4 linked regions of the Yarrowia lipolytica genome follow. The protein of the gene in region 3 interacts with the protein of the main gene of each other region in a biochemical or structural test. Links are inferred from orthologs where the notes say so. Each region holds a gene or a part of one and is shown on either strand. Other genes may lie near its edges.

Region 1 (3,464 bases), about 220 kb from region 3:
ATGTTGACCAGCAGGCCGTTGCCGCAGCCCAGGTCATAGAAATAAATATCGTCCTTGTTCTTGTACATCTGGCCCCACAGCTCGATGAGAAAGGCGGCGATGGCAAGATCTTCAAACACGTGTTTGCGAGGGTCTGTGGACTCGACCCATGAGGACACCAGCGAATGTGCGTACTTTTGCTTCAGGTAGATGTATCTGTCCTGGAACTTGATTCGGTCGATGATCATGTCGTGATGCACCCGTTTCTTGTAGCCTGCCTTTTGACCCGACGAGTGGCGGAACACAGTGTGGAGAAGATGCAGGGCAATTCGACCGCATCGTTCCTCCTGCTCGGCCGAGAGCTCGTGGTCGGTATACTTTTCGTAGTAGACGGAGATGGCACTTCCGTCAAAGTACAGCAATACGGCCTTGACACAGGGCAGGTAGTAGGGACACGACTTGGGATGGTCGTGGTGCGAAATGTAGGAAATGGCGATTTTGGCGCCCTCGGACGTTTCTTTGCCGTCAGAGTCCCACAACGGCTTGTCCGAGTGGACGATGCATGTTTGGTTGACGGAAAAGTCGTTCTGGGGGTTTCGGGGGATGATTCGACGAACAATGACTCGTTTGACTGGACAGGGAGTCACCTCGACTTGTCGGGGCTCGTAATCCTGCAGATTCGGAGGAACTGGAGTGTTCTTGTCCTTGTCTGTATCCTTCTTGTCGTCGTCGACAGGTCCTTCATGGGTATCGAAAATGAACCCTTCATTGGCCTTGTCCGTGCCCATGATGTTCGGCATCATGTTGAGCGAGTCAGAAATGATATCGGCTCTCATGATCACCGACGAGTTGATGTTGGGCTGGCTGATCACGTTGAGCATGGCCTCGAGAAAGTGCTGGGCCCCAAAGTCGACCGGGTGCGACAGATACGGCGTCCATTGTGTGCCGACCGCGGACGGCTCGCCGCTGATATCGGTGGGTGTGAACATGGCGTGACTGGTAGAGGGTCAAACGGGTCGCTATTGTTTTTCTGTCTGATTTGATTTTCCATTGTGATGCACGGCGAAAAGTTAATGCGCCAGGGGGACATGAAGGAAGAGCAAACGGGGGACTCTGTGGGTGTTGGAGTGGGAATTGTGAAGAAATAATTACATAAATATGATTGCAATCGGACGAGAAATCCACTGGAATTTCAAATGTCCAATTCGACCCACTTTTGAGCATTTCAAGCCACCCCTCACCACTCACCCCGCCTAGAGTCACCGCCGCCGCACAACCGAACAGGAAAGACAGGTTATGACTCATTCGTGGGGGAAAGAGAAAGAAGAGGACCATTGAGTCATCCGAAACATACAACTCAAACCGGATCTTTAGGGATCAGATGTCACGTGGGCCGAAACCCGACCTTGGAATATTGTTCTATGTTGTCGAGTAATCCGTTAAGTAAATAGTGAATATTAGTTGGATTTGATGGGGGTACAGGACGACTCTGTAAGTAGGGTTGAAATGGATCCAGAAACACGCGGAGAATTGGAATCACGTGAGAAGCAACTACAGTACCATTTGGCGTGAATTTGGACTCAAATAAGTCCTTATTTTATCATCTACAATGAACCATTCTCCTACCTCCGCTGACTCATAGTTCAAGTAATTTTATACTTCTTGACACGTGATGGTGCATTTGGTGAAAAATGGATCTGGATTTCGGCGGTCCAGTTTGAGAGCAATTTAGAGCTGTGGGGGTATATATATATATATATATATATAGATGTGCTTGGGGTCTTGTTTTTTCCCTTCTTGTTTTCTCTTCTTTTTTACCACTCGGACCCTTTTGTCCGTCTCCTGTGGTTTTCCCCCTTTGCTCACGGTTTGCTCTACTGCTTGTCCCAACCAGCTCCATGCACGTCGTCAACATCTAAAACTCAAGTACAGCTGCCAACTGAGTCGTCACCACACACAGTCGTCCACCACCACCACCAATGAACACGTCATCGCAATTCCAGCAGCTGGAGAAGCTCGGAGAAGGCACGTACGCCACGGTGTACAAGGGCCGCAACCGAACCACGGGCCAGCTTGTGGCGCTCAAGGAAATTAACCTGGACAGTGAAGAGGGCACGCCTTCCACGGCCATCCGAGAAATCTCGCTGATGAAGGAGCTTAAGCACGAAAACATTGTGACGCTGTACGACGTGATCCACACGGAAAACAAGCTGAATCTGGTGTTTGAGTACATGGACAAGGATCTCAAAAAGTTCATGGACACCAATGGCAACAAGGGCGCGCTGGAGACCAAGCAGGTCAAGTGGTTCATGTACCAGCTACTCCGTGGCATTCTCTTCTGCCACGACAACCGGGTTCTACACAGAGACCTCAAGCCCCAGAACCTGCTCATCAACGCCAAGGGACAGCTCAAGCTGGCTGACTTTGGTCTGGCCCGAGCGTTTGGAATCCCCGTTAACACCTTTTCCAACGAGGTCGTGACGCTGTGGTACCGGGCTCCGGATGTGCTCCTTGGATCCAGAACCTACTCCACCTCCATCGACATCTGGTCTGCAGGCTGCATCATGGCCGAGATGTTCACTGGCCGGCCTCTGTTCCCCGGATCTTCCAACGACGACCAGCTGCAACACATTTTCAAGCTCATGGGCACGCCCAACGAGAGCACGTGGCCCAATATCTCGTCGCTGCCCAATTACCGATCCAACTTCCAGGTCTATGCTCCCCAGGACCTCCGAGTCATCATCCCCCAGATTGATAACGTGGCGCTAGATCTGCTCTTGTCGCTGCTGCAGCTCAAGCCGGAGAACCGAATCACGGCTAGACAGAGTCTTGAGCATCCTTGGTTTGCCGAGTACCATCAGTAAGCTGCATCAACCGCAAAACCTGTGGGAGCATGGGTTCAAGTATCATTGCTTCCTGCCAGTGCCGGCACTAGGTGCCGTTAAAGCACCACTGGAAGACCGACCCAACTACTGTTACTGGATCTTCACAGGCTAAAGAATTAACAAGGAGGAGGATAGCACTAATAGATTGTCGTGTTTGAGTGGTGCAATAGTCTGAAGTTGTATTGGAGAGGAATGGGCCGTATTAAAATAGTGAAGAGAGATCGCCGTACTATTTAATAGCCATGTAACACTCCAGGATCTACCGGAAAAACGAGTCACGCGATACACACGAGTTGAACATGAAAGTCACGTGAATTGCACGTGACTTGAACTTACATTCATGTCTGTACCATATGTACAGTATGTACATACATTCGCTATCTAAAACATCTCGGTCTTATGTAGCCTCTATTTATTTGATTCATGTCATAACTGGTATCATCTGAATCCCCACGTGATCAGGACTGTGACGAAATTTGTTACACAATAATAGGATCATTATTGACTGAGTGAGATGGTTGTTCATTTGTGACTCAACAAACCCAACTATATATCAAGTAAATATGGTGAAGATACAGGAAGATTAAACAACGGGGAAAC
Region 2 (7,065 bases), on a different chromosome or scaffold from region 3:
GGCGCAGATGCTTACAGTATATGTCGGCTACCGAGGGTCTACGCAGAACAGTCCTTCCATGCTCGTGGACTGGATATCTCAGAAGTGAGCCTTCAAAGTCCTTGTGTTAACTCTTCCCCTGCTGTTACACTCGAATCATGCTACAGTATTGGCTATTACGGACATGGGGCAGTCTTTCAAGACATTACCGTGCATGGTAGTTTGATTGTATCCAACACGGAAGGCGGCATGAACAAACCAGCATCACAGAGCATATTTGTTTTATAGAATCATTCCTGAATATGCCGTCATTTCTTATATATATCGTACTTAATGACAAATACAATTTGTAGTACACACTGTATGCTTCTTTCTCATGTGCCGTTCTATCAACAAGGAGCAGATTTGTGCTATGCCAGTCAAGAAGAGGTCAGTACTGCTACTCCTACAAGTACAATGTACCGTACACATACACGTCATCATTATATTATTATATTATCATTCATTAAATAAAATTAATTAGCTATATTAGTTACGTTTAGTTATTAATGAGCAGACCTTGAGAAACAAGGTGCGCCTTGATCTGGTCATAGAGCTGAGTAAACGAGCCCTGCGAGCCTCGATCGTGGAAAAAGTGAGCAAAACTATTGGTGTGTTTGAGGGGACCAATGTCGATATGCAATTTTGCCGATTTGATTTTCAGAGCATTTCGCGAGCTGATCTGACACTTAATGGAAGAGTGTGACACAGACAGATTGGAAATACCATACTTGCGCCACGATGCAAGCAGAGCCACAATCTCGTCTTCCAGCTGCTGGCTGGTGAGAGTGGAGTAGAGGGTTTGAGGAGGTTGCCGGGGGGCGACGTTGGGTCGCGAGAACATCTTCATGAACCACGATTGAGTGACGTTCCAAGGGTCGCCAGTAGCAGGAGCAGTACCGGACGTGTGAGCTGCATGAGCTGCTGCATGAGCTGCAGGTGCAGCTGGATCTTTCTGTGCATTCATGTGGGCGTTGGCATTCACACCAGGAGCAGCACCATAGTCGCTAGATTGGATCATGGTCACCTTAGAAGTGGGAGCAACTGGAGCCTCACGCTTGGGTGCAAATCCAAACCGTCGGATGAATGACTTCGTTCGGCTGGACTTTGACTGGGGTGGCTGAGTCTGCACAGGAGCAGGAATGGTAAACTGCGAGTTGTTCTGCTGCTGCTGGTGCATAGGAAGAACCATGGTGTCGGCCACACTCTGCACGGGGGGAGCAGGTGCAGGCCGTCGTGGAGCAGACACCACAGGCTTCTCTCGGAAGACAGGTGCGGGCTGCAACTGATGCTGAGTCTGCTGCTGCTGCTGATGATGATGCTGCTGCTGCTGTTGCGGTTGCTGTTTCTGTAGAACCTCAACAGGTCGTCGTTCGTGCAGTTCAGCAGCTGCCTGCAACTGTCTAACAGGCTTGGCGGCCTCTCGAGGGGAAGCAGCATGGGTATTCATATCACGAGACACGAGAGGACGTCGCTGGGAAGCAGAAGTCGTCTGTCGCGATAGGTTGCTCTGGCTGAGATGACCGTTGAGGTTGATGGACGAAGGTCGCTTCATGAAGTTGTCTGTCTGCATCTGGCCCGAGATCTTCATCTTGGACTGGGTTCGAGGCATAGACTCCACGGCAGTCTCATCTCGGTCCACAACAGGGATTTCGGGGAATTGAAGATCCTTGTAAAGCTCTGTGGACTCCCGACCAACATGGGTAGCAGCAGGAGCCACAGGAGTGGCCTCATTGGCATTGTCTCGGTGGAAAGAAATGTCCAGCAGAGAGTCCTCGCCCACAACAACCTGGTCCCCTCGCTCAGTGAAATCAAACAGGTTCTCCCACTCACTCGACTTTCGATCGCCCCCAAGCATAGGAGTTGTGTGGTTCGTGGAGGGGGCAGAAAGAGTGTTGTCGGAAATGTTGAGATGGAACTCCTCCTCGATGGCATCTGCGAACCGGTCGCCCTCCTCGAAAATCATGGGCAGGTAGTTGGGGGTATCAGAATGAGCGTTGGCCACACGCTCTCGCGAGTGGGTGTGAGTGTGAGAAATGGTTTGAGCGCGAGATACGCTGGGCTGCTGGGCACGGCCAGTGTCTCCTCCTACCTCTCGAGGATCAAACAATGACATGGGCCGTTCGAACTCAAACTCATCGTTGTATGCCATGGTTACTGCTCGCTTGGATGTGTTCGCAGCGGTTGCGCCAGCTGCGGTTCGAGAGGCGATGGACGTGTTAGCAGGGTCAGTCACATGGCGTCGAGCGTCAACGGGAGAACCAAGCAGACTGCCGTAGCTCTTCTTCGTCTTGACGGGCTTGTTGAAGGCAGAGTCAAGGAAGGCTTCAAAGTCGGCATCCTTGCTGGCAGGAGGCGACCGTGTAAGCCACGAGGGAGCTGACGAGATGGGAGCCCGTCGTGATGTTGGCGGCTGTTGATGGACAGGCTGTGATTGTCGTGGTGGTGACTGAACCGCTTGTGTTGGTGCCAGTGGCTGTGCTGGTGCTCTAGTGGCTGTGGATGTAGCGGCTGCGGTTGTAGGAGCTGCGGGTGCAGTAGCAGGTGCCTCTGTGTAAGGAACGTTGACGTTGAAAGGAATGGGTGCAGTACCAGCCGAAACAGGTGCGGAGGCAGTCTGTTTTCTAGGAGAAGCGACGACGGAGTTGCTGGCACTTCCTCGCATGCTTCGGATGCTCTGCTGAGATCGCTTCTTGACATGGGTGAAAGAAACACCTCGCTTGTGGGCCGAAGAAACAGACACCAGCGAACCCCGAGAGCCAAGTCGATGGCTGTTGTGGCTTGTCTTGCGCTTGTGTTGCTTGCGAGACGAGTGGCTATGGGACTTGTGCATGGCAGGCTGCATCTCCTGGCTCTGTTGCTGTTGCAACGTGGGAGGAGCAGTGGCAGCCACAGCGGCAGCATGATCATGTCGGTACTTCATCAGCAGACAGTAAAAGGTCTTCTCCGGGTTAGCATCGGGAGACAGCAGCTTCTGCATGATGATCTCGGCGTCTTCGCCGTGCCACAGAATCTGTAGGTTCTTGAGAATCTCTATATCAATGTCCTGCACCGAAGCCACAGGACGGGCCACATGCTCGTAAGAAGGAGCATGGATGTGAGTGGGTGTCACACCTCCGCTGTACTTGCGCACGAAGGGATGCTGGAAGATCTCGTCCATGGTGATTCGAGTGGTAGGATCTGTTCGTAGCATTCGCCAAATGAGATCCTTGGCGTATGGACTCAGCTCTGACGGCATATTGAACTTGCCGGTCTGCACCTTGAGCAGCAATCTTCGAATGTTGTCATCGTCAAAAGGCAGATGACCGGTCAGAAGCGCGAAAAGAATGATACCGCACGACCAGATATCCGAGGGGGCTCCGTGATATGTCTTACCGGCGACAATTTCGGGAGAGGCGTAGTGAGGCGATCCACAACTGGTTTCCAGCATCCGGTCTGTCTCCAGAGCGGCCATTCCAAAGTCGGCAATCTTGATGTTGCGGTTCTTGTCTAGCAGCAGGTTCTCGGGCTTGAGATCTCGGTGGCAAATGTTGAATCTGTGGCAGTAGTCGACTCCATTGATGATTTGCAAAAAGTACGAGGCGGCCTCATATTCCTCCAGGCGGCCCTTTTTGATGAGGTAATCAAACAGCTCGCCGCCCTCAATGTATTCCAAAACGAGATATCTGGGTTAGTATGGGTATAATGGTTGGCCGTTGTCCTGGTAACGGGCCTCAAGCGACCGCTGCGACAATTCCATGTTGAGTATACGTCGCGCACATCCACGCTGTGTATAGTTGGCCTGCATGGACACAGGGATGCAGCGTATACAGCATGTACAGTGTAGCACTGCCTGGGAGCGGTGTGGTGGTGGTGGTGGTGGTTGGAGACTCAGAAATAAAATAGGAAATGAGATACAGCTTCAAACACTGGTCTCCGCAAAGATAAGGCTGTATGTCCCGAATAATAAACCACGAAATGGCAAGCGGTAAACAAACACAACAAGCGAGTGAAGAGAACATTGATATATGCCATAGAAGCACCAAAACTAGTTGGAGGCTTACAGAGTTAAATCAAAGATCCACAAGCATGCGTCTTTCTCGAATTGCTGAGTCTCTTAGTGTCCTGATGTGCTCAGTGTACCGTGCTTGTGTGAACCACGCCCAGTGCCCTGTAAATGTACCGTTCGGGGCATTCATCTGACTATTAAAGGGGGGTATGTCAATGAGTGATTGAAGGGAAAGACGGACTTGAAAGTCATGTGCCAGTCCAGGAACTGCGTCTGGGACTATCTGAGCCATGTGACAGTGTGGAGACGCGTTTAGTCAAATTAGAGAGACGACTGAGAGCTGTAGGAGATATACTTCGGCTGTAACACCTTACTTGTCATCTTTGATGTCTCTAAAACACCTCTCAGTGTACCAAAAGCTCGCCTCACCATCAAAACGCGTCAAAATAGTCTCGTTGTTCCACAACATCACCACCCACCCTGTGATTTCACCACCATACACTCCACACCAATAGGTAATTTTCACGCTTCTTCAATACTCACAATTCTCCCTTGTTCTCCCACACATCGTACAGTGCCATCACATTGGCATGTTCAATCAATTTCATGATGATCACCTCCCGCTCAATACCGTAAGGTAGCCCCGTGGCGCCATGCTCCTCTCCGTTGGCCGCATTGACGGCGTCGGCCACCACTGCCTTGGGTACAATCTTCACGGCCGCAAGCTGGCCGGTGTGCGAGTGTCGTGCTAGTCGGACACGTCCCGAGGAGCCTCGTCCAAGGGTTCGGCCCAGTCGCCAAGGACCAATGTGCGTTTTTGTCTTCTTGTTGGACGACGTCGATGTCTGGGACAACCGTTTTGTCGTGGGGTCTGTGGTTGTCTGGCCCGGTGTCTGTGTCTGTGTGTTCTGTGTGTTCTGTGTGTTTTGTGCCTGAGCGTTGTAGTTGTAGTTCTGCTGGGCCTCATACTGTTGCTGTATTTGTTGCACCATGGGGTCGGTGGGGTATGCCCGCGAGGCTGCTGCAACAGCTGCTGGGTTGTGCATTGTCGCTTGTGTGTCGGTGGTAGAGGAACGACTGTGTCAGAAACCAACAATCTATCTCCACGAAGGTGTAGCACCAACGATACACTCGGCCTGCATGGTGCATTGTTTGCAAGAGTTTGCCCATTGTAGAGTTTCTTTGGAATGATGTGGGTTGAAAAATGGTGGTATTGTGGCTTACAACTGAGAGCAAAAAAATCCGAAAAAACACGGATAATTCGAACGGCATTTTTCTCTTTTTTTTCATATATATTTCTCTATTTCATCACCACCCCATCAACCCCCACAACCACATTCCACACGCGAAGAATGCACAAACAAAGTTGATGCGCGGCTGAGCATCCTAACAAACAATACATGTGGATTGAGGGAAATATGTAGAGAAAAATGTGGATTTTCGGGCCGTGGACGAATTGGACGGTTCATGACATTTGTTGGCGAATTATTCAAGGCCCAAATATTGCTTTTCCGTCACTTTAGCTCAACTCTACAGTACCGAAAAGAGCCTCATCATGGCCTAATCTGATGGCTCACATTCCAAGCCGTTTTGGGATACGCGACACGCGAGTCAAGGGTCATTTTTGTGCTGAAACCCTTACCCACAAGCAGCAAGACGGAGATCTGCAACCTTGTCGCCGGTCACGTGATGTCCACAATGGTTGTCATGGAGACCATTGTGGGATATATTCACAGTTGTACGGCTTGAGTGATACACTTTGAATGTTGTCCACGTGGTACAGTCGAGGTGTCGAGCGGTTAGTTGACTGTATTTGCACAGGGTATTTGCATTTTACAGCCGTAATAATATCAGCTACAAGTAGCCAATTATTGTAGGATTATTGTAGGAGTGGTCTTACACGTTACATACTGTAACATGAATTTGACCAGATGCAAGGGTGCAGTGGAATCTTGGGTTGGAGGTACAAGTACAAGTGGAGGGAAACGGAGACGGAGCGGTGGTATATTGGGTGGTTGTCAGGATATAATGTGTTGATACACAGAAGAACTGGCCTTGTTGGGAAATTTGCACTTGTACTTGTACTTGTACATTCATTTCCGCGTTTTATTATTCGACCGTGTCATCCCCATCTCTTCTGTTTTGATGTATACTTGTACATGGTGGGCCGAATTAGTATGTATAAAAACATGCCCTAAAAATACACCTTTTACTGTGGGCCACACTGACGGGACAATGGCAATGACAGCTCTCGAAACGCTCAAAGTTGACCCAAAATAGCCGTGTTTGGTGCCAGAACAAAGGTACGAGTGGAGCCAATCCGGTGCAACCACCAGCCAGTAGCGGAATGCGTCATTATCCTCTGAGCTGGAGTGGGAACGTGAATTTGTATGCGACACAACAATGGTGAAGTCGACTACGAGTAGTGACTTCTGCACAAGAACCCACCACTACTGAATACGATACAGTACGATTACGGTAAGAGTACAAGACAGTTACTACTGATACAAGTACGTATGTACATACTGTACAACAACAATTCAACACCTTCTGAAGAGTGATTCAGCTCGTATACTCTGGATACACGTGAAAGAGCGCCTGAACATTCATCTCAGTGCCGATCTCTGATAGACAGCATGGTTAATAATAATAATCTGCAGTGGGGAGCAGTTCAACAGTAGCTCCTCGTAGCTGTACACTTGTATCGTAAAAACTGTATCGCAGCTAATTCGACGTAATTTCCCGCCTGCCAAGCCAATATCGGAGCTTCCTTGACTACAAGTAGCCATTTATCGCTCTTATCATATATAAATGGGTCTCCGCCACACGACGAGTAGTGGACAGAAAGATAAGTAGCCACCCAAGCCCTCCATAGGGCGACATTCGGTAGCACTGGTAGCGCACTTTCCCGGAAATGACGTAATGCGCTGGGAAGAGACTCTGCGGCACATCACGTGACTGCGTTTATCCCGCAGGGGGTTCACGTGGACAGCTCCATTAACCATGGGCGACAGCCGGGCTATTTATACCGGTGGCATAAATCATGGTGAGGCATTACT
Region 3 (5,150 bases):
TTAGAAAAAGAGAACATGAGAGGCGAAGACGACGGTTCGTAAGGGGGGATGTATAAATGGGAAAGACAGCATAACTCACCTTTTCAACTTCATCTAGGGCATTCTTAACGAACGCCTTGTAAACGCCTGCAGATAGGTCACCTGTTTCTGGACAAGTAGTCAGTTTGCCATCATCCTGAGGAAGCACTCCTCCCTCATCCCTTGGTTTCTTTAAAGCCATCACTTGGGGCGAATCCACCCTCTTTCTCTTCAACGAGAGCCCTCTCGACTCCAATGCTACTGGACTTTCCATCGTTTCTGTGTATCTCTTCTTTTTGTTCTTCTGTAGCGAAACGGTAGAAAGCGTTGAGATGAGCTTGAGATGGACTGAGTGGTGAGAATTATCAGAGCCTCCAAAGGTTAGCTACTGTACGCACAAACTTTTCAAAGCCTAATTCTGATTATGCAAGGTGGGCAGAATTCCATAAAATGATGCACAGGCGTTGTGACGGCCAGAGAGGGGTGACAAAGTGTTCAGTATTGTCAATATATTATTTTCATTGAATTTATCCCACAAAAACTCCTCTCTATCTCTATATTTTCGTAGATTGCGGGTCCTTTATGGCCCTCACGTGCAACAAAAATGACCTCGAAGCTTAACTTTTCGAGGAATTTTTTTGCCACAGTCCTGAGACATGCACGAGGGAGGACCTTGGAGTTGGAGCAGGTAATTGAGAGGTTGCTTAGTAACGGGTTTTGAGTTTAGGATATTCCGATTTGGGACATGCGATGTGTCGTACTTGCAGAAATGGCCAGTAAATGTCTGACTGAGGACCGCCCGCAGAAGGAGTAGTCCGAAATAAGCTAATAGGATAGTTTATACACATGGGTCGTTTCAGTGTTGGTTACGTAAACAAGTCTGGATTTCTGAGTTCGCCACCGTCTCAGTACAAAGTTCTGGGTGAACTCTTCATCGCCCCCTTCGTGCTCTTCAGCTTACATCATCGAACCCAAATCCGGACCGTTAAGTGCCAGCAGACCCTAGCCCTACAAGGTGGGGAAGCTTACATTTGCAGGGGTGGTGGTGTCTGGTTATTGACGGTCTTGGGCAGGAGACAGCAAGCAAGTTTCAGATAGACAGAGAGGCTTGCAAGACATCCACATTACATGTCCAAAAACAGTCTTTATGATGTGAAATAGTCTCTATCGGCATGGTACGTACAAGTACGTACTGCGCCCATATTATGTATGTATTTGTGTTGTTACACGCACTACCCACTGTGGCCAAGAGCATTTAGGCCCAGCCGGCTATACTTGAACATCGAACTACTAAGGTGCCAAAAACAAGCCGAGGTAGAACTGTGATTGGAGAGCTGTTAGTGACATAATCTACCCTTGCACATCTCCGATGACTAAAAAATTCGGTTATTTGCCCAATATTACATCTACATCTGGCATGAGAAGCTGTTGTGGCCTCACTCTCACCTCAGTTGTGCACCCCCCCTCGTATTTTCGCTTGAGTCGTTTTCCCGAGCCTCGGAGACAAGGTTCCACACACACAGGCCGCCCCATTTAGGCCAAGTAACGGTGATGAATTTTGTATAATTGTTGGGCCCAGGGCTGGTGATTTTGAACCATGATTCCAGCCATGTTTGTTTGCTTTTCAGGCTGTATTTCTGTGTGCTAGTCGGCACTTTTCATCCACTCCCCACGTGATCACATCGATTGGAACAGCAAACCCCTCCTTGTACTTGCTGCATATCTGTATGTATACCGAACTCTGTGAAGGTGCCCAACAGATCATCACCACACAACCACACGATGCAGTACGTTGGGCGAGCCATTGGAACCGTTTCCAAGACCTGGAACTCCATCAACCCTGCAACACTCAGTGGTGCAATTGACATCATTGTGGTCGAGCGGGAAGACGGTGAGTATGGCCATCAAGAGGCTGTTGGAGAAGTGGAGCTGATGCAGTGACCGACGGTGACTTACAGGATGCAAGTTGAGAGGGTGATAGAGAAGTGGACTTTGGGAACAGAGAGTGGGTGCAAGTGGCCTTACAGTTGTTACTTCTAGCTGGCAGTTACACCACTCTTGTAACTATCATGGTCCGTATGATGTGACCACATGTTGTACACCATGACTGTAATCGTGCCCAGGTGGCAACAGTATGATTCACAGTTGTTATGTCATATGGACAAAGTTGTAAGAGGCCAATACAACTGGAGCAACCAGCTTGTTTCGGGTTTCCTGTCAACTACTTCCCACTCACTCGAAACACTCAACACATGAACACAACGTGGTGGCGTAACACCTCATCCCCATAACCACCATATCCACACACTAACCCAGGTGAACTAAACTGCTCTCCTTTCCATGTGCGGTTTGGAATCTTTTCCCTGCTGCGACCGTCCCAGAAAAAGGTCGAGTTCTGTGTCAATGGCACCAAGACCGAGCTGCCCATGAAGGTGGGCGATGGAGGAGAAGTCTTCTTTGTGTTCGAGACCGACGCAGACGTGCCCGAAGAGCTCCTGACATCCCCCGTCATTTCTCCCTCTTCGTCGCCATCCTGGGGCCAGGAGGAAGGCGGGGATGGTGAGCCGGACTACCTTGCTCTGAACGACTCTAAACAGGGTGGCGACAGCAAGCACGGCAGATCGCCCTCGGAGGGCCCACCATTCAGATCACCTTCGGCGGATCACTTACATGAGATGGGCAGCTTCGATGATGAGAATGACCCTGAGGTGAACAGAAGACAACGTGCGAGCACGGCAGCTCCAGAGCCTGTTCCTGGTTCGTTGAAACACCCAGCCACTATCTCGGAAGGCATCTCTTCGGCCTCGTTTTCCAACAGCGATACTGATCGAACAGACACTTCTGGACCCACAGAGACAGAACCCACAGAGCTCACAGAGCCTACAGAGCCCACAGAGCCCACAGAGCCCACAGAGCCTCTGGATCTTGAGCAGAGTCTCCACCGGGCTGCCACTTCTCCCGCCCCTTCGTCCGAGGAGATTTGGGAGAAGGCCCGTGCACTGTCCAAGAAACTCACATCAGAAAACATTCAGAGTAAAATCTCCGACAACGGAGACATTATTCTGGATATGACTGGTTACAAGTACGACCACGAGGACGTGAGTCGATCAGAGGAGCTGGTCAAGAAAATCCTCGCTGAGGAACTGGGAGAAGACAGAGACCTGTCCCACATCCTGGTTGAAGACGAGGAGGGTAACCTTGTGATTCAGAGCGCTGGAGACAGCCACCATCACGAGCATATGAGCTCGCCCGAGTCTCTGGCCCACTCCCCTCAGCCCCTCCCTTCTTCTAACCTTCCGTCTCAGGCCTCGGACAACAAGCACTACGCCAAGACCATCCGTTTGACGTCTGACCAGCTCAAGTCTCTGGATCTCAAGCCCGGCAAGAACGAGGTCACCTTTGCTGTCAATAACGGCAAGACGTCGTGTTCGGCCCAGCTGTTCTACTGGAAGTACGACATTCCTGTTGTCATTTCCGACATTGATGGCACGATCACCAAGTCCGATGCTCTGGGCCATCTGCTCACCATGATGGGCCGAGACTGGACCCACACCGGCGTGGCCAAGCTCTTTTCCGATATCAGAGCCAACGGGTATAATATCATGTATCTGACAGCACGATCAGTGGGACAGGCAGATGCAACCAGGGCATATCTAGGCGGTGTTGACCAGTTTGGCTTCAAGCTGCCTCCAGGACCCGTCATCTTGTCGCCTGATAGAACCCTGGCGGCTCTCAAGAGAGAGGTGATTCTTAAGAAACCTGAGGTATTCAAGATGGCGTGTCTGCGGGACATTAAGTCGCTGTTTGGCGAGACCGAAGACGCCACCAATCCATTCTACGCTGGATTTGGCAACCGAATCACCGACGCGTTGTCGTATAGATCTGTCGGTGTGCCGTCGTCTAGAATCTTCACAATCAACTCGAACGCCGAGGTCCATATGGAGCTGCTTGAACTGGCTGGCTACAAGTCCTCGTATGTCCACATTGCCGATCTTGTCGACCACTTTTTCCCTCCGGAAAGCGAGTTCACGACCATTCAGGAGGAAAAATACACGGACGTCAACTACTGGCGAGATCCCATTATTGACCTGTCTGATCTGACCGACGACGAGCTGACTGACGATGATGAGCTCTCCAAGTCGCCCAAGTCGCCCAGATCTCCTAGAAGCCCGCGGGCCGGTTCGGCAGGCTCCAGCGCGGCTCCCTCAGGCTCGGGCGCCGACCCTGCCGGACCCTCCGAGCCGAAGGACTCCGCGAACCCGTCGAAGTTCAGCTATAAGAAGGCTCCTACGAACTCTCGATTCCAGCCCGTTTCGTACGATCTTGATCTTGACGACGGATACGAGTACGACGATGACGATGACTATGATGACGATGAGGAGTTTGTGGACGCTGAGAGCGACGCGCTGGAGGAGGATGACGACGATGATGATGACGTCGACCTAGACAACGACTCTGACCACTCCCCTGTCAAGCCGCCCTCGCAGATGCAGCGAGTCATCAACAAGACTATTGAGGACAACAAGGGCCTGCACATGGATGAGGATGACGTTCAAAAAGCCATGAAGGCCCTGAAGATGGAACGAGCAAGCATCAATCCTGAGTAAATAGGAAATCAAGCATAAATATATCCGTACTGTACACCGTAGTTTGTGACGTCGAAGGGGAGGGGGACAAGAGAGTGAAAGTGTAGCTACTTGTAGTATGTATAAGTTGTGCGTACCTGAATGTCACGGGACCTGCGATACGAATGCTGGTGAGACCCAACCATGGTTCCCGCTAGAAAGCCAAGATATTATCTGGATCTACAGCTGAGTTTGACGTTATTTTTTTCCCTCCTGAAAGGCTTTGTTAGGTTTGCATCGTTCATGTATTTGGTGTACACCTTTTTCGGGTTCCGATGGTGCTTCCATAGGTGGAGGAGCAGGTCAGAGACACATTGTTTGTGGATAGCGGATTGTTATGCCCCGAGTGGAGCATCATTTTAATCGCAGGAGTTTATTATATACTGTGTATACAGTGCACTAATTTTTCCCCTGTCTCCTCTACACTCCCTTACGTCATTAAATGGCCGCTACTGTATTCACACTCTTCCGACCCGGATCAGATAAATTTTTCAAGAACTTTTTTAT
Region 4 (3,292 bases), about 3.2 Mb from region 3:
TATTGGAGAGACAAATTAGAGAAATCACATATGACCAGTTGAGAGAACCAGAGAAGAAATATGAATTATTTTGTATGACAAAAGTTGGTCAATTGGCCTGCCGAATCAATTTTCCTGTCGAGATATTTGTGATCCGATGAATATTGAGAGGATTTGGGTGAATGCCCCCAGGTCAGACGATTCCTGTGTCTGAGAGACAAGACACTAACATATTTTGTACTTGCAAGATGAGTTTTCCTTCATTTTCCTCGCTGGTTAAATTTCCGTTGATTTTTTTTTGATCCGGTCAAAATTGATCGAGTTACTGTGGCTATATGGTATGGTACATATCCCATAAACACCACCATACACCTATTATCCACCACATGCATTAAAATAAATATACTTCCTTTTAGTAGTTCTCTGGGACAGTCCTATTCAGAGTCCAGTAGAGATCTTTCGGGGTTTGTTCTGAGAGAGCAGTTCTAATCACGAACTGCAAACAACCGTGTACTGGATGTCAGAAGTGTCGCCAGAGACAGATGAGAACATTATGTTTGGGTTGTCATTCGTTGGGCAGTCATTCGTTGGGCAGTAATTCGTTCGGGCTGTACTTCATACCATGCCGGAATGATTCCAGAGCCTTATCGCGCTGTACTGCCTACAGGTTCCTTCCTCTCTCTTTCAACTGCGGACAGGCTCCTTCCTTTCCTTCCTTTCCTTCTTTTCCTTGATCTTCTTCTTTCTCTCTCTCTCAAAGTACCCCAATCTGTATTCTTCCCATTGCTCGATGTTCTCGGTGCTAAACACCCTTGTATTCAGCACCAAATGAACGGTGGACGAAAAGTAGCCTCCCGTTTTCACCAACTTGACATTGAACCCGCGGAGACCTCGATTTGAGTTGTATATGAACTTCCTTGGGTAAACCAGTTTCTTGGTGTACATTCCAGAGAGATGAAACAGTCCCAGAGTTGACAGAACCGCAATCAGACAGAAGCGATGGAAAAAGAAGACGTAGGAATAAATGGAAGGGTAGATCTGAGAGTAGACCAAATACGCCGTCAAACTCAGCAAAACAAAGTAAAATGTCGAGTACTTACGCTGCGATTGCCGCTGGTTGAGATACTGCTGTCTCAGAGACTCCTCCAGGATTAGCAGATTCGAATAAATCTCCGAAGGAGACGATAACGGGGGAGGAGAAGGAGGTAACGGAATGTTCTCTGCATCTGCGGTTTTGGGCGGTTTCAACACGGGTTTTTCGCGTCGGCGTGGCTCCGTGACGCCCGCAAGCTTGAGGTTGGGCAGCAGTTCCACTTCTGTGTCTCCATCCGATTCTGGAAGGAAGTCGGGGCTGCTTTCCATGGTAATGAGAGTGACGTCGGGACTTGGGCGCAGAGAGTTTGGCGGGGAAGAATTTGGCGGCGGCAAGAGTCTATTTCCCTCTTCAGGTCACGTGATTAACAGGATTAGCGCTGACGTTATGAACCCGCTGGCGTTGTTTGCTGCTCCACTAACGTGTATCGCAGGGTGGTGGTGAGCTAGGAACGAAAATTCACAGTCTACGGTGGAGTGCCCAAATTAAGGTTTCACAACGCTGATTAGTAATCGAAGAGAAAAGGGGTCTGGGGGGAAATTAAATCCTGAGGGCGAGGGATTTGGGGGATAATAGTAGTATAATTGGAGTCAGGGAGGTGTGGGGAATCGAATGGTATGTTTGAAACATAAACATGGTCATTTTTGGGCGAGTTTGATGGGGTATTAAGTCGCGGTGTTGTAGAGTGGCTAAGGGGGAGAGATACGTAGATGTGAAATTGTATATGGGGATGAGACAAGTGGCAAAAGTGTGATTTCTGTCAATGAGTGTCCAAATTATGTCTCACTTGAGTTATAAATGTCTTCAAATGCTCAGCAATCGATCGACCATCTATAATGCGAGGGACAAAATACGCATGATTCCACAGATTTGAGACTGTTGTTGAGCTAATATGGAATTTTGGATTTGATAATCGACTTCTAAATGGATCAATAAATCTCTTATATCACTTCCTAATCTCTCTAAGTCCATTTTTCACCCCACTATTACTACCTCTATGATCATGCATACAGTTACTCGGGTCGTAGAGATGAAGTATCTAACTTGGAATCTGGCCGGTGGAATTGGGTGAATTTTTGGCTGAACAAATAAACTGTGCCAAAGACTCATCAGACCAAAATATATCTCAATATGAAGATTACTTCATCCACTATGTTCCTCCTAGTGGCCATCTTCCCTGCATCAGAATAGATTCACTCTAGAAGCGTCTATTTAGGTCGTATTGGATTTCTGAAACTTTCAGGAGATAAAAAACACCGTATTTATTCTGCTCAATCTCTTGTTGGACTTTTTTCACTTCCAAAAACCCCCAATATCTCGTCATGTTCATTTTCCACAGCCAAAATTAACTTTTCACACCCCACCAACCAATCACGTTCTGGATAAGTCCGGATCTCGCTAAGCGGCGGTCCAAATGAAAAATTACAGACAAAAAATGTATTCACCAGCCGGCTAATACCCAATAGCAACTCTTCTCATCTCTTCTGCTCCTCTCAAACACCGAAAAATGCGCTCCTGTTCTTCTACATTATCTACACTATCCTGCACCCCGTGTAAATTGTGCAGAAAGAAGTGATCCGTTTCTGAGCCTGATAGAAAGCTCCGAATGAGCCGAAAAAAGGGGATATATCCAATCACGTGACCAACACAGGTTCCTTCACAAGAACCGCCCCGCGCCATACAAATTCGGTCCGTATAATGCCTCCCTGTCCTCCATTGTACTACATTATCGGCCAAAGTTTAATTTCCATCACAATGAACCTTATTTTTTACTTACCAAAAAAAGAGGTCACGGCAAAAAAAATTATCGTCACTCCATTACACCCCCACACAACATGACCAAAGACATCATTGTGCTGATTTCCGGGTCGGGAACCAATCTCCAGGCACTCATTGACGACGCAGAAATCGGCCCCCGCATCTCGCTCGTCATTTCGTCGTCTCCGACCGCTTATGGACTGGAGCGAGCACAAACGGCCGGAATCCCCACCCACGTCCATTCTCTGGCGTCCTACTATGGCGATTTGCCCAAGGATGCCAAGACGGAGCGTATGGCGGCCCGACAGAAGTTCAACGCCGATCTGGGCAACTTCATCGTATCCAAAACCGACACTTCGCTGGTGGTATGTGCTGGGTGGATGCTGATTCTGTCGCCCAAGTTTCTGGAACCTGTGGAGGCGGCCAAAATGTCCATCATCAACCTGCATCCTGCTCTGCCCG

The links.
Region 1: of the proteins of YALI1_D35593g (region 3) and YALI1_D33418g, one has a biochemical effect on the other in vitro, tested with the Saccharomyces cerevisiae proteins (9 studies listed by BioGRID). The link is inferred for Yarrowia lipolytica from reciprocal best matches to the Saccharomyces cerevisiae genes PAH1 and PHO85.
Region 2: of the proteins of YALI1_D35593g (region 3) and YALI1_E07818g, one has a biochemical effect on the other in vitro, tested with the Saccharomyces cerevisiae proteins (2 studies listed by BioGRID). The link is inferred for Yarrowia lipolytica from reciprocal best matches to the Saccharomyces cerevisiae genes PAH1 and HSL1.
Region 4: of the proteins of YALI1_D35593g (region 3) and YALI1_D03888g, one has a biochemical effect on the other in vitro, tested with the Saccharomyces cerevisiae proteins (2 studies listed by BioGRID, with this or other methods). The link is inferred for Yarrowia lipolytica from reciprocal best matches to the Saccharomyces cerevisiae genes PAH1 and SPO7.

Annotation. Positions count from the first base shown.
Region 1 is NC_090773.1:3,340,212-3,343,675, reverse strand, and holds YALI1_D33418g (uncharacterized protein), read left to right. Parts: upstream 1-1,958; coding exon 1,959-2,843; downstream 2,844-3,464. Other genes in the region: YALI1_D33428g (uncharacterized protein), read right to left, coding at 1-968.
Region 2 is NC_090774.1:779,807-786,871, reverse strand, and holds YALI1_E07818g (uncharacterized protein), read right to left. Parts: upstream 5,053-7,065; coding exon 4,550-5,052; intron 3,684-4,549; coding exon 518-3,683; downstream 1-517.
Region 3 is NC_090773.1:3,557,469-3,562,618, forward strand, and holds YALI1_D35593g (uncharacterized protein), read left to right. Parts: upstream 1-1,800; coding exon 1,801-1,909; intron 1,910-2,334; coding exon 2,335-4,625; downstream 4,626-5,150. Other genes in the region: YALI1_D35575g (uncharacterized protein), read right to left, coding at 80-292; YALI1_D35624g (uncharacterized protein), read left to right, coding at 4,887-4,895, 4,940-5,150. UniProt on the Saccharomyces cerevisiae protein: Mg(2+)-dependent phosphatidate (PA) phosphatase which catalyzes the dephosphorylation of PA to yield diacylglycerol. Required for de novo lipid synthesis and formation of lipid droplets.
Region 4 is NC_090773.1:386,857-390,148, reverse strand, and holds YALI1_D03888g (uncharacterized protein), read right to left. Parts: upstream 1,342-3,292; coding exon 664-1,341; downstream 1-663. Other genes in the region: YALI1_D03865g (uncharacterized protein), read left to right, coding at 1,836-1,839, 2,978-3,292. UniProt on the Saccharomyces cerevisiae protein: Regulatory component of the NEM1-SPO7 complex which acts as a phosphatase and dephosphorylates the phosphatidic acid phosphohydrolase PAH1. Essential for the formation of a spherical nucleus and meiotic division.